Linked DNA regions of Macaca fascicularis. Each later gene encodes a partner of the first gene's protein in a complex. Links are inferred from orthologs where the notes say so. Each region holds a gene or a part of one and is shown on either strand. Other genes may lie near its edges.

Region 1 (4,512 bases):
TAAACTCAATTTTTAAATACTGTTGGAAAATAACCTCAAACTTTAATGCCACCAAGTCAGTGGAAACTATTCCAGAGTTTGAATAAAGTACTCCAGGGATCTAAAACCTTGAATCTGGGACATGTAGGCTCCCCAGTAAGAAAATCATTCTTGTTCCTGGGGTGGAGGCCAGGAAGGAGGAGCTGCCTGTCACCTCACCCCTACAGCTTTTGTGTTTTTTAAAATTACTGTAGTGGTGTGGTCACAATCATAAGAAGATCTTGTTTTCAGACTTATGGCATACTTTCCCTCCTTTCTGAATGTAACCGATGCCAACAAACATTTGTTTTTCCTGAGTGAACATAGTCCCAATATCTAAGTTGCTTCATTTTTATGTATAAATTCCTGCAGTGCTACCTGTTTGTTGAAATGCTAGATACACAGGCAGTAAGTAGAATCCTTTAAGAGGAAATGCATTTAAATCCTCTTCTCCCCCCATCCCCTCCCTCAAAATTAAGAATGCTGCTATCCTATCCTTTAAGGAAGAAGTCAGAATTTCTAAAATGAGGAGGTAGAAAGGAAACCAGAATTCTGTTCTGTCAGGCTCCACACAGCATGACAAATCTCTCCTTAAAATCTGCCTTCTGGCCGGGTGCAGTGACTCACGCCTGTAATTCCAGCACTTTGGGAGGCCACAGTGGGTGGATAACTTGAGGTCAGGTGTTCGAGACCACTCTGACCAACATGGTGAAACCTCGTCTCTACAAAATAAATAAATAAATAAATAAATAAATAATAAAAAATAAAAAATTAGCTGAGTGTGGCGACGCGCCTGTAGTCCCAACTACTTAGGAGACTGAGGCAGGAGAATCACTTGAACCCGGGAGGCAGAGATTGCAGTAAGCAGAGATCGCGCCACTGCACTCCAAACTGGGCGACAGAGCCAGGCTGGGTCTCAAAAAAAAAAAAAAAAAAAAAAAAAAAAAAAATCTGCCTTCTCTCTCTTCAACTGTCTAAATCCCAACACTGCAGACAGCGGTGACCCCAAGTCCCAAAATGACGATGCTATTGCAGGGTAACAAACAGGTTTTCTGTCAGGCCTGATGGTGAACCAGCAGCGACTGCAGGCTGACAGTCTCTCACATAAGCATGTCCTAGTAGGGCTTGTTAAATTTCACTTCTAGCCCCAAACCAGGAAGTGCTGTTTAAGATGAGCCCAAGACAAAAGCAATCTAGCTTCAGAAACAAAACTCGCCAGACTCTAGAAAGACCATAAGAGTTTAATAAGGGTTTAAATTTGGGACTGTTCTCCGCTTGGCATTGGAACCTATGGTCTCCTCCCCATAAAAGTTTATTAAAATTCGAAACTGCCAAAAAACAAAGTAAAATCATATACGACCTATACAGGCGCGTGCACGCACTTACACACACACACACACACGAACACACACACACACACACACACACACACACAGACTAATTTGTTTTTATGATCCGCTTCCTTATCTAGACTGTCCAGGCTTGGGCCAGATTTGAGTTGGTAAACTCTCACAGCTAAAGCAGAGAAGAATGTAGAAAGAGTATCTACTTCTCCGGATTATTGGGAGGAGGGTCGAAGCGTAGACTGGCCACGCCCGGGTCCCGCTCTCTCGTTGCACAACTGCTAGATAGATCTGGGCATCGAAGGAGGAACGATGTAACCTCCAACCCCTTCTTTCTGACCAACCGGAACCCGAGCAGTGCTGGGACCGGGGAGGGTCACCGGGTGAGGACCGGGGCGGTGGGTGTTAAGTTACAGGGCAGGAGCCCGGGTCCCTCCACGGGCAGGAAGGGGAGGGCCCATCGGGGCTAGGGGAACCCCGGCGCAGACCTGGGGTGGGGTCGGAAAAGCTGCCTCACCGCGCGCTCCCGGGCCCTCCGCTTCCTCCCTCCCTCCCTCCCTGGCAGGACTCCCCGCCCGGCCTCCCCGCCACTCTCCGCGGCGCATTCCCGGAGGCAGCGCCCGCAGCGGCCTCGCCATGTCCCAGCCCGGCCAGAAGCCCGCCGCCTCCCCGCGTCCCCGGCGCGCAGCCGCCGCCCGCCGCACCCAGGAGGTGAGTGGCGCTCCTGTCGGCGCCGCGGGGCTGGGCGACGGGGGACCGGGTCCCGGAGCTGTGGCCGCCCTCCCTGGGCGTTGCCAGCCTGGCCGGTCTGCCGCCCCCGGCGCCCCTGCGGGGCAGGGAGAGGGCTCGGGGCTCGGCCGCTGTGCGGCAGGTGGCTGGAGGTGTCTGCGGTTCCCCGGCCGGGTCCAGTGCGCTGGGCGTGGCGTTGGCCGGGTAGAGTGTAGTGGGGGCGCGTGGAGAAAAGTTGGCTGGTGAGACGTGGGTGAACGGGGAATGAGGTTCACTCAGGACCCCCGAGTGAGTGCCTTGGTTTCACTGGACAGCGGGATCTAGTTTTCCGCGCTAAGGCCGGGCCGCAGGGCGTGGCTGCCTGGAGACGCAGAGCCTCTTCCCTAACCAGGCAGGAGCCAAATCGGGCGGGCGGGGAGGGGCGGGGTCTGCGCCGGGCTCCACCCCCAGGGTTCTGCCCACCTGGCAGCCGCGGGATGTGCCGAGTTCAGTGCCAGCCAGGTCCCGGCCAGGCAGAGTGCGAGCCCGGCGCCTCCAACACAGCACCCCGCGCCCTCGCTGGGTCCCCCGCCGTGCGGATCGGAGTTAGCCGGTTGTTGCCATGGCATTCGCCAGCTGGTGGTACAAGACGGTAAATAGGAGCGGTTGTGCCTGGGCAAGACTGGGAAGGGAGTGTGTTGGAAGGGAATGTGTTTGCTTTGCCCTTCTGGGCGTGCGGATGAAGCGTTGTCCGGGGTTTGGCGTGGAAGGGGTGCGGCCCGGGTGCGAACCGGATGCGACCTCCTCACAGACCTTCAGGTTAGGCTCCGGGAGAGGCTGGGGACTCACCCTCTTGTGGTATGTGTGAGCGCGCTCGAGCGTGAGCAGCGCATGCACCTTTCTCGCCCCTGTGTCAAGCACTGTGCTCTGCTGGCGCTCACAAGTGGGATGGAACTGGAATTGTTGCTGGAGGAATTCTGTCTAGAAGGTGGATTCCTGAATGAACTCGGACGCAGCTCGCAAGAGCTTAGATCTAGGGTTCGTTTTTAACCCTTAAGCAAAGGAAAGGTAGATGCAATGTGAGGCAGGGAGAAAATCCCAAACACCAAGGGTTAGAAGCAACTGAGATCTAAGACCAAGACCCTTGGAGAGAGCGGTGGAGGGGTTGGGGAGAGAAAGCGAGAAAGAGAGAGGGAGGGAGGGAGAGAGAGCGCGCACAAATGCGAACTGCTCTGCACTTTATTACTTTGGATGAGGGACAAGAACGTTCCATTTGTTTGGTGCATTGAATGTCTGTCCTACCAATTAGGTGTGATATCCAGTCTAGCTGGCACTTCTAGTGTTTTGGAACCAGGAAGCATGATTTAACATTAGACTGCTTTCCAAAAACAACAAAAACCAAAAAACAAAACCACACACAGTTTTGTTGACAGTGAGAGCCAAAATGTTTATGTCTCATGGATTTATGGTGAGAATTAAAAAATTAGTTAGGTATGTCTTTTTCTTAGCATGTGGTATTGGAAAAAGCAAAGATGTTGGAAACAGACACACTTTAGAGCTAGAAACCCTGTATAAGAATCAAGAAAGAAACTGTTACTTATCAGACAATGGACATTTATTGATCATCTACTATGTGCCAGGCAGAATTATATCCCAAAAGTAGTGGTTTTTTTAGATTATTTTTTACTCTCCCTTTCTATATATATAGTATATATGTATAGTGTGTGTATGTGTGTATATTTATAGGATATATATATATATATATGCACACACACACACACACACTGTACAGGGTCTCTCTCACTATGTTGCCCAGGCTGGTCTAAAACTCCTGGTCTCAAGCAATCCTCCCACCTCAGCCTCCCAAAATGCTGGGATTACAGACATGAGCCACTGCACCAGGCCTACAATTTCTTTTTAAAGCCTCCATGTACACTGTGGAGAACAAAGAGTTTTTCTTAAATGAAAATAAGTCAACCTTTTCCATCTGCTTTCACATCTGTAAAATAGAAATCATATGCACTACATAAGTATTGGTGAGGACTAATTAGATTCAAAAATCAAGATACAATATACATATACTTTTAAGAATTGGGAATTCCAATTTCCCTTGAGATATTTCTTCTTGAGTGTTTTCCAGTACATTTTCTGGACTTTTACATGTAGCATTTTATTGATGTGGTAAGAGCAAACGTTTACTTTGAGTCATTATTGGCCTAAGGTTCTTATCAAAATGCACCATGTACATTATCTGCAAATATGGATAGGGATAGTTCAGAGTTGACATCAGACTTCTCCTTCCAGACTCATGATTCTCTAAAGGAAACTCTGCTGGATTACTTGGATGAAAGTAGTTTAAATCTATGTTTTTAACCCTGTTTTGTTTAGTCATGGTCTGATGTTTTTGCTAAAACCTCTCTTAGAATCCAATTTTGGTACTATC
Region 2 (3,811 bases), on another chromosome or scaffold:
GGCCTCTGGCCTCTGACTTTCAACCTGTTGCCCACAGACCCTGATCTGAAGACTGATGGTTTTGGCATTGACACGTGTCGCAGCATGGTGGCCGTGATGGATGTATCCTTGGGAGCAGTGTGGGAGAGGCCCTGGGTGCACAGGGAGTTTTTTGAGAGTATGTTTGGAAAGCCAATGTGTAGCCTTCATATCCACAGATGTGGAAATGCATTCATCAGAGCACACTCACCTACAGACATGTGGCAGTAAATCATAACAATGCCAGCTGTTACAGCTGGCACTTTAATTATATAAAGTGACCGAACCTTCACAACCACCCTGTTGGACAGGCACAATTATTATACTCCATTTTACAGATGAGGAAACTGAGGCTCAGTTTCCTGAGAGAAGCAGTCATTTGTCTCAAGTTATAGATAAAGGTCAGGCGTGGTGGCTCATGCCTGTAATCCCAACACTTTGGGAGGCCGAGGTGGGCAGATCACCTGAGGTCAGGAGTTCGAGACCAGCCTGGCCAACAGGGTGAAACCCCATCTCTATTAAAAAATACAAAAATTAGCCGGGCGTGGTGGTGTGCAGCTATAGTCTCAGCTACTTGGGAGGCTGAGGCAGGAGAATAGCTTAAACCCGGGAGGTGGAGGTTGCAGTGAGCAGAGGTTTCGTCACTCCAGTCTGTGGACTCAGGTCTTTTGGGCTTGGGAACCTAAATGTATAACAGCCACATGCACATGTACACACACACACACCTAAGAGCACACCCACATGCGTGAAAGTGTATGAGGCAGTGTGCTCAGGAACACACATATATCTGTATATGGGCCAGCCATCAGCTGACCTTTGATGCATGCATATTTTTATTTATTTTTGTTTTAAAAAATAGTTTATAAGGAGACAAACTTTCACTATATTGACCTGGCAAGTCTCAAACTCCTGACCTCAAGCAATCCTCCCGCCTTGGCCTCCCAAAGTGTTGGGATTACAGGCTTGAGACACTGCGCCTGCCCTTATGCACATTTAACACATAAGGCAGTACAGACACACACATATATACATGTCACGTAATCACAGACATATTGCATAGAGCGAAGCAATCCCAACTGTACCTCTTAACCAGGTTATTGAACCTCTCTGTGCCTCAGTTTCTCTGTCTGTAAAATGGGTGAGTGATAATGGTGATACTGAATTGGAGCTACATGCAAAAGTTTTAGCATTGTGCATAACGCATAGTATGTGGTCTGTACACATTAGCTCTTAACTATGATATTGGGTAGAGTTTTCAGCTTTGAATATGTTTCTTTCTCTGGAAATAGTCCTGGTAGAACTGGTGTCCCGAAGATTTAGTGAGAAAGTGATGTTCCTGAGCTCAACGATCCACCTGCCTTGGCTTCCCAAAGTGCTGGGATTACAGGCATGAGCCACCATGCCTGGCCACACACTTGTTTTTCACATGTCCTAACATTTATGAAATTGAGTTACTGTCCACAATTTTCTTTTCTTTTTTTCTTTTTTTTTTTTTTTTTTTTTTTTTTTTGAGACAGAGTCTTGCTCTGTTTCCCAGGCTGAAGTGCATTGGTACCATCTCAGCTCACTGCAAGCTCCGCCTCCTACGTTTGAGCAATTCTCCTCCCTCAGCCTCCCAAATAGCTGGGATTACAGGTGTGTGCCACTACGCCTGGCCAATTTTTGTATTTTTAGTAGAGACGGGATTTCATCATGTTGGCCAGGCTGGTCTTGAACTCCTGACCTCAAGTGAACCACCTGCTTCAGCCTCCCAAAGTGCTGGGATTACAGGCGGGAGCCACCGCGCCTGGCCTATCAAGAATTTTCTGAATGAGCAATTAACAACTCTTCAGGCAAGGAATGTGTACTTTAGAGTAGTTGAATATAATTCCTCATGGTTATGTTCCTTTTTTGAGACGGAGTTTCGCTCTGTCACCCAGGTTGGAGTGCAGTGGCGTGATCTCAGCTCACTGCAAGCTCTGCCTCCTGAGCTCATGCCATTCTCCTGCCTCAGCCTCCCGAGTAGCTGGGACTACAGGCGCCTGCCACCTCGCCAGGCTAATTTTTTGTATTTTTAGTAGAGACGGGGTTTCACTGTGTTAGCCAGGATGGTCTCAACCTCCTGACCTTGTGATCCACCCACCTTGGCTTCCCAAAGTGCTGGGATTACAGGCATGAGCCACCGCGCCCGGCCTAGTTATGTTTAAAGAGAATCCTTATTTAGAAATATAAGTGACGATATGTATGGATAAAATGAAAAATAAAACTGCACACCAGGTGATACGACTAGGACCAAGCGGGAGCTGGAGTTTCAGCTCTGGCTCCCCTGCTTGCTGTATCACCGTCGTGTCCACAGTGCACGTGATGCGTGCATCTGGGTGTAGCTGTCACTCTTCTTAACACCCTCCCACCAGAGCGACACCACAGGGAAGCTGGGCTTTGAGGAATTCAAGTACTTGTGGAACAACATCAAAAGGTGGCAGGTGTGTAGCAACCTCTGAAATCCCTGGCACCCAGACCCCCAAGCCACGGAGATACCATGCTCTACAATGCTCACTTGGACCCGATCTCTCTGTCCCCACAGGCCATATACAAACAGTTTGACACTGACCGATCAGGGACCATTTGCAGTAGCGAACTCCCAGGGGCCTTTGAGGCGGCAGGTATGGCTGGCAGGGACATGGTGGGGCTGGGAGTGGGATGGGTGAGAAAACCTTTACTCAGCTGGTTTGGGCCTGACTCCTGGGCATGGGAGTGGGTTGGGCCATGTGGCCCCCACACCTGAAGGACTAAATCCATCTCAGGGTTCCACCTGAATGAGCATCTCTATAACATGATCATCCGACGCTACTCAGATGAAAGTGGGAACATGGATTTTGACAACTTCATCAGCTGCTTGGTCAGGCTGGACGCCATGTTCCGTGAGTGATGCCCCAGCTGTCTTCCTGGGTGGGGATTCCTATGACCTCTATGGGCCAAAGTCTCCTCTAAGCCTGACTTTGAGGTGGGCGATGCTAGGGGCACAGGGGTGACTGAATCAGCCCCAGTTTCTGCCCTCATGGAGCGCACAGTCTAGTGGAGGAGAGACGAGTCCCCAGACAGTGACAGTTCAGACTGGTGATGGCTGAGAGGGGAAGCTCAGGGCAGAGTGATGGGTTGTGATGGGGGCAGCACAGGCTGAGGGTCTGGGGCTCTGGTGAGGGAAAGAGTGAGCAGAGTGTGCTCAGATTGTGCTTGGGGAAGCCTAGAGGGCAAATCCAATCCAGGAGGCACCTGATGCAGCCCAAGGGGTCAGGGAGGGCTCACTGGAGAGGGAACATTGGGACCTGAGGGATGAGGAGAGAACTTAGTGAGCAGGTAGGGAATACTGTTGCAGGGGGAGGGAACAGCCTGTGCAAAGGCCTAGAAGGGGAAAGAAGATGGGGCTTCTGGTACTTTTAGCTTGCTTTCTTTTCTTTCTTTTTTCTTTTCTCTTGTCTTTTCTTTCTGCCTTCCTGCCTTCCTCTTCTTTTCTCTTCCTTTCTCTTCCTTTCTCTCCTCTCCTCTCCTCTCCTTTCCTTTCCTTTCTCTCTTCTTTCTTTTTTTTTTCCTTTTTGACAGAGTCTTGCTCTTGTTGCCCAGGCTGGAGTGCAGTGGCACCATCACAGCTCACTGCAGCCTCAACTCCTAGGCTCCAGCAGGCCTCCTGCCTCAGCTTACCGAATACCTGGGAGTACAGGCACACACTGCCATGCCTGGCTAATTTTTTAAAATTTTTTGTAGAGACAGGGTCTTGCTATGTTTCCCAGGCTTGTCTTGAGCTCCTGAGCTCCAG

The links.
Region 2: the proteins of CAST (region 1) and CAPNS1 are in contact, whole or in part, in a crystal structure (PDB 3BOW), measured with the Rattus norvegicus proteins. The link is inferred for Macaca fascicularis from reciprocal best matches to the Homo sapiens genes CAST and CAPNS1. Residues at the interface, in NP_445747.2 of Rattus norvegicus: Pro652, Ile653, Asp654, Ala655, Leu656, Ser657, Asp659, Leu660, Asp661; in NP_058814.1 of Rattus norvegicus: Phe103, Leu106, Gln109, Leu110, Ile125, Lys128, Val129, Arg132, His133, Leu136, Phe166, Trp170, Lys174, Gln177, Lys181.

Annotation. Positions count from the first base shown.
Region 1 is NC_088380.1:100,638,666-100,643,177, forward strand, and holds the start of CAST (calpastatin), read left to right. Parts: upstream 1-1,633; 5' UTR 1,634-1,744; intron 1,745-1,862; exon of another isoform or gene 1,863-1,926; 5' UTR 1,927-1,997; coding exon 1,998-2,072; intron 2,073-2,579; exon of another isoform or gene 2,580-2,691; coding exon of another isoform or gene 2,692-2,721; intron 2,722-4,512.
Region 2 is NC_088393.1:43,390,077-43,393,887, forward strand, and holds part of CAPNS1 (calpain small subunit 1), read left to right. Parts: intron 1-37; coding exon 38-102; intron 103-2,411; coding exon 2,412-2,480; intron 2,481-2,581; coding exon 2,582-2,660; intron 2,661-2,801; coding exon 2,802-2,918; intron 2,919-3,811. UniProt on the Homo sapiens protein: Regulatory subunit of the calcium-regulated non-lysosomal thiol-protease which catalyzes limited proteolysis of substrates involved in cytoskeletal remodeling and signal transduction. Essential for embryonic development.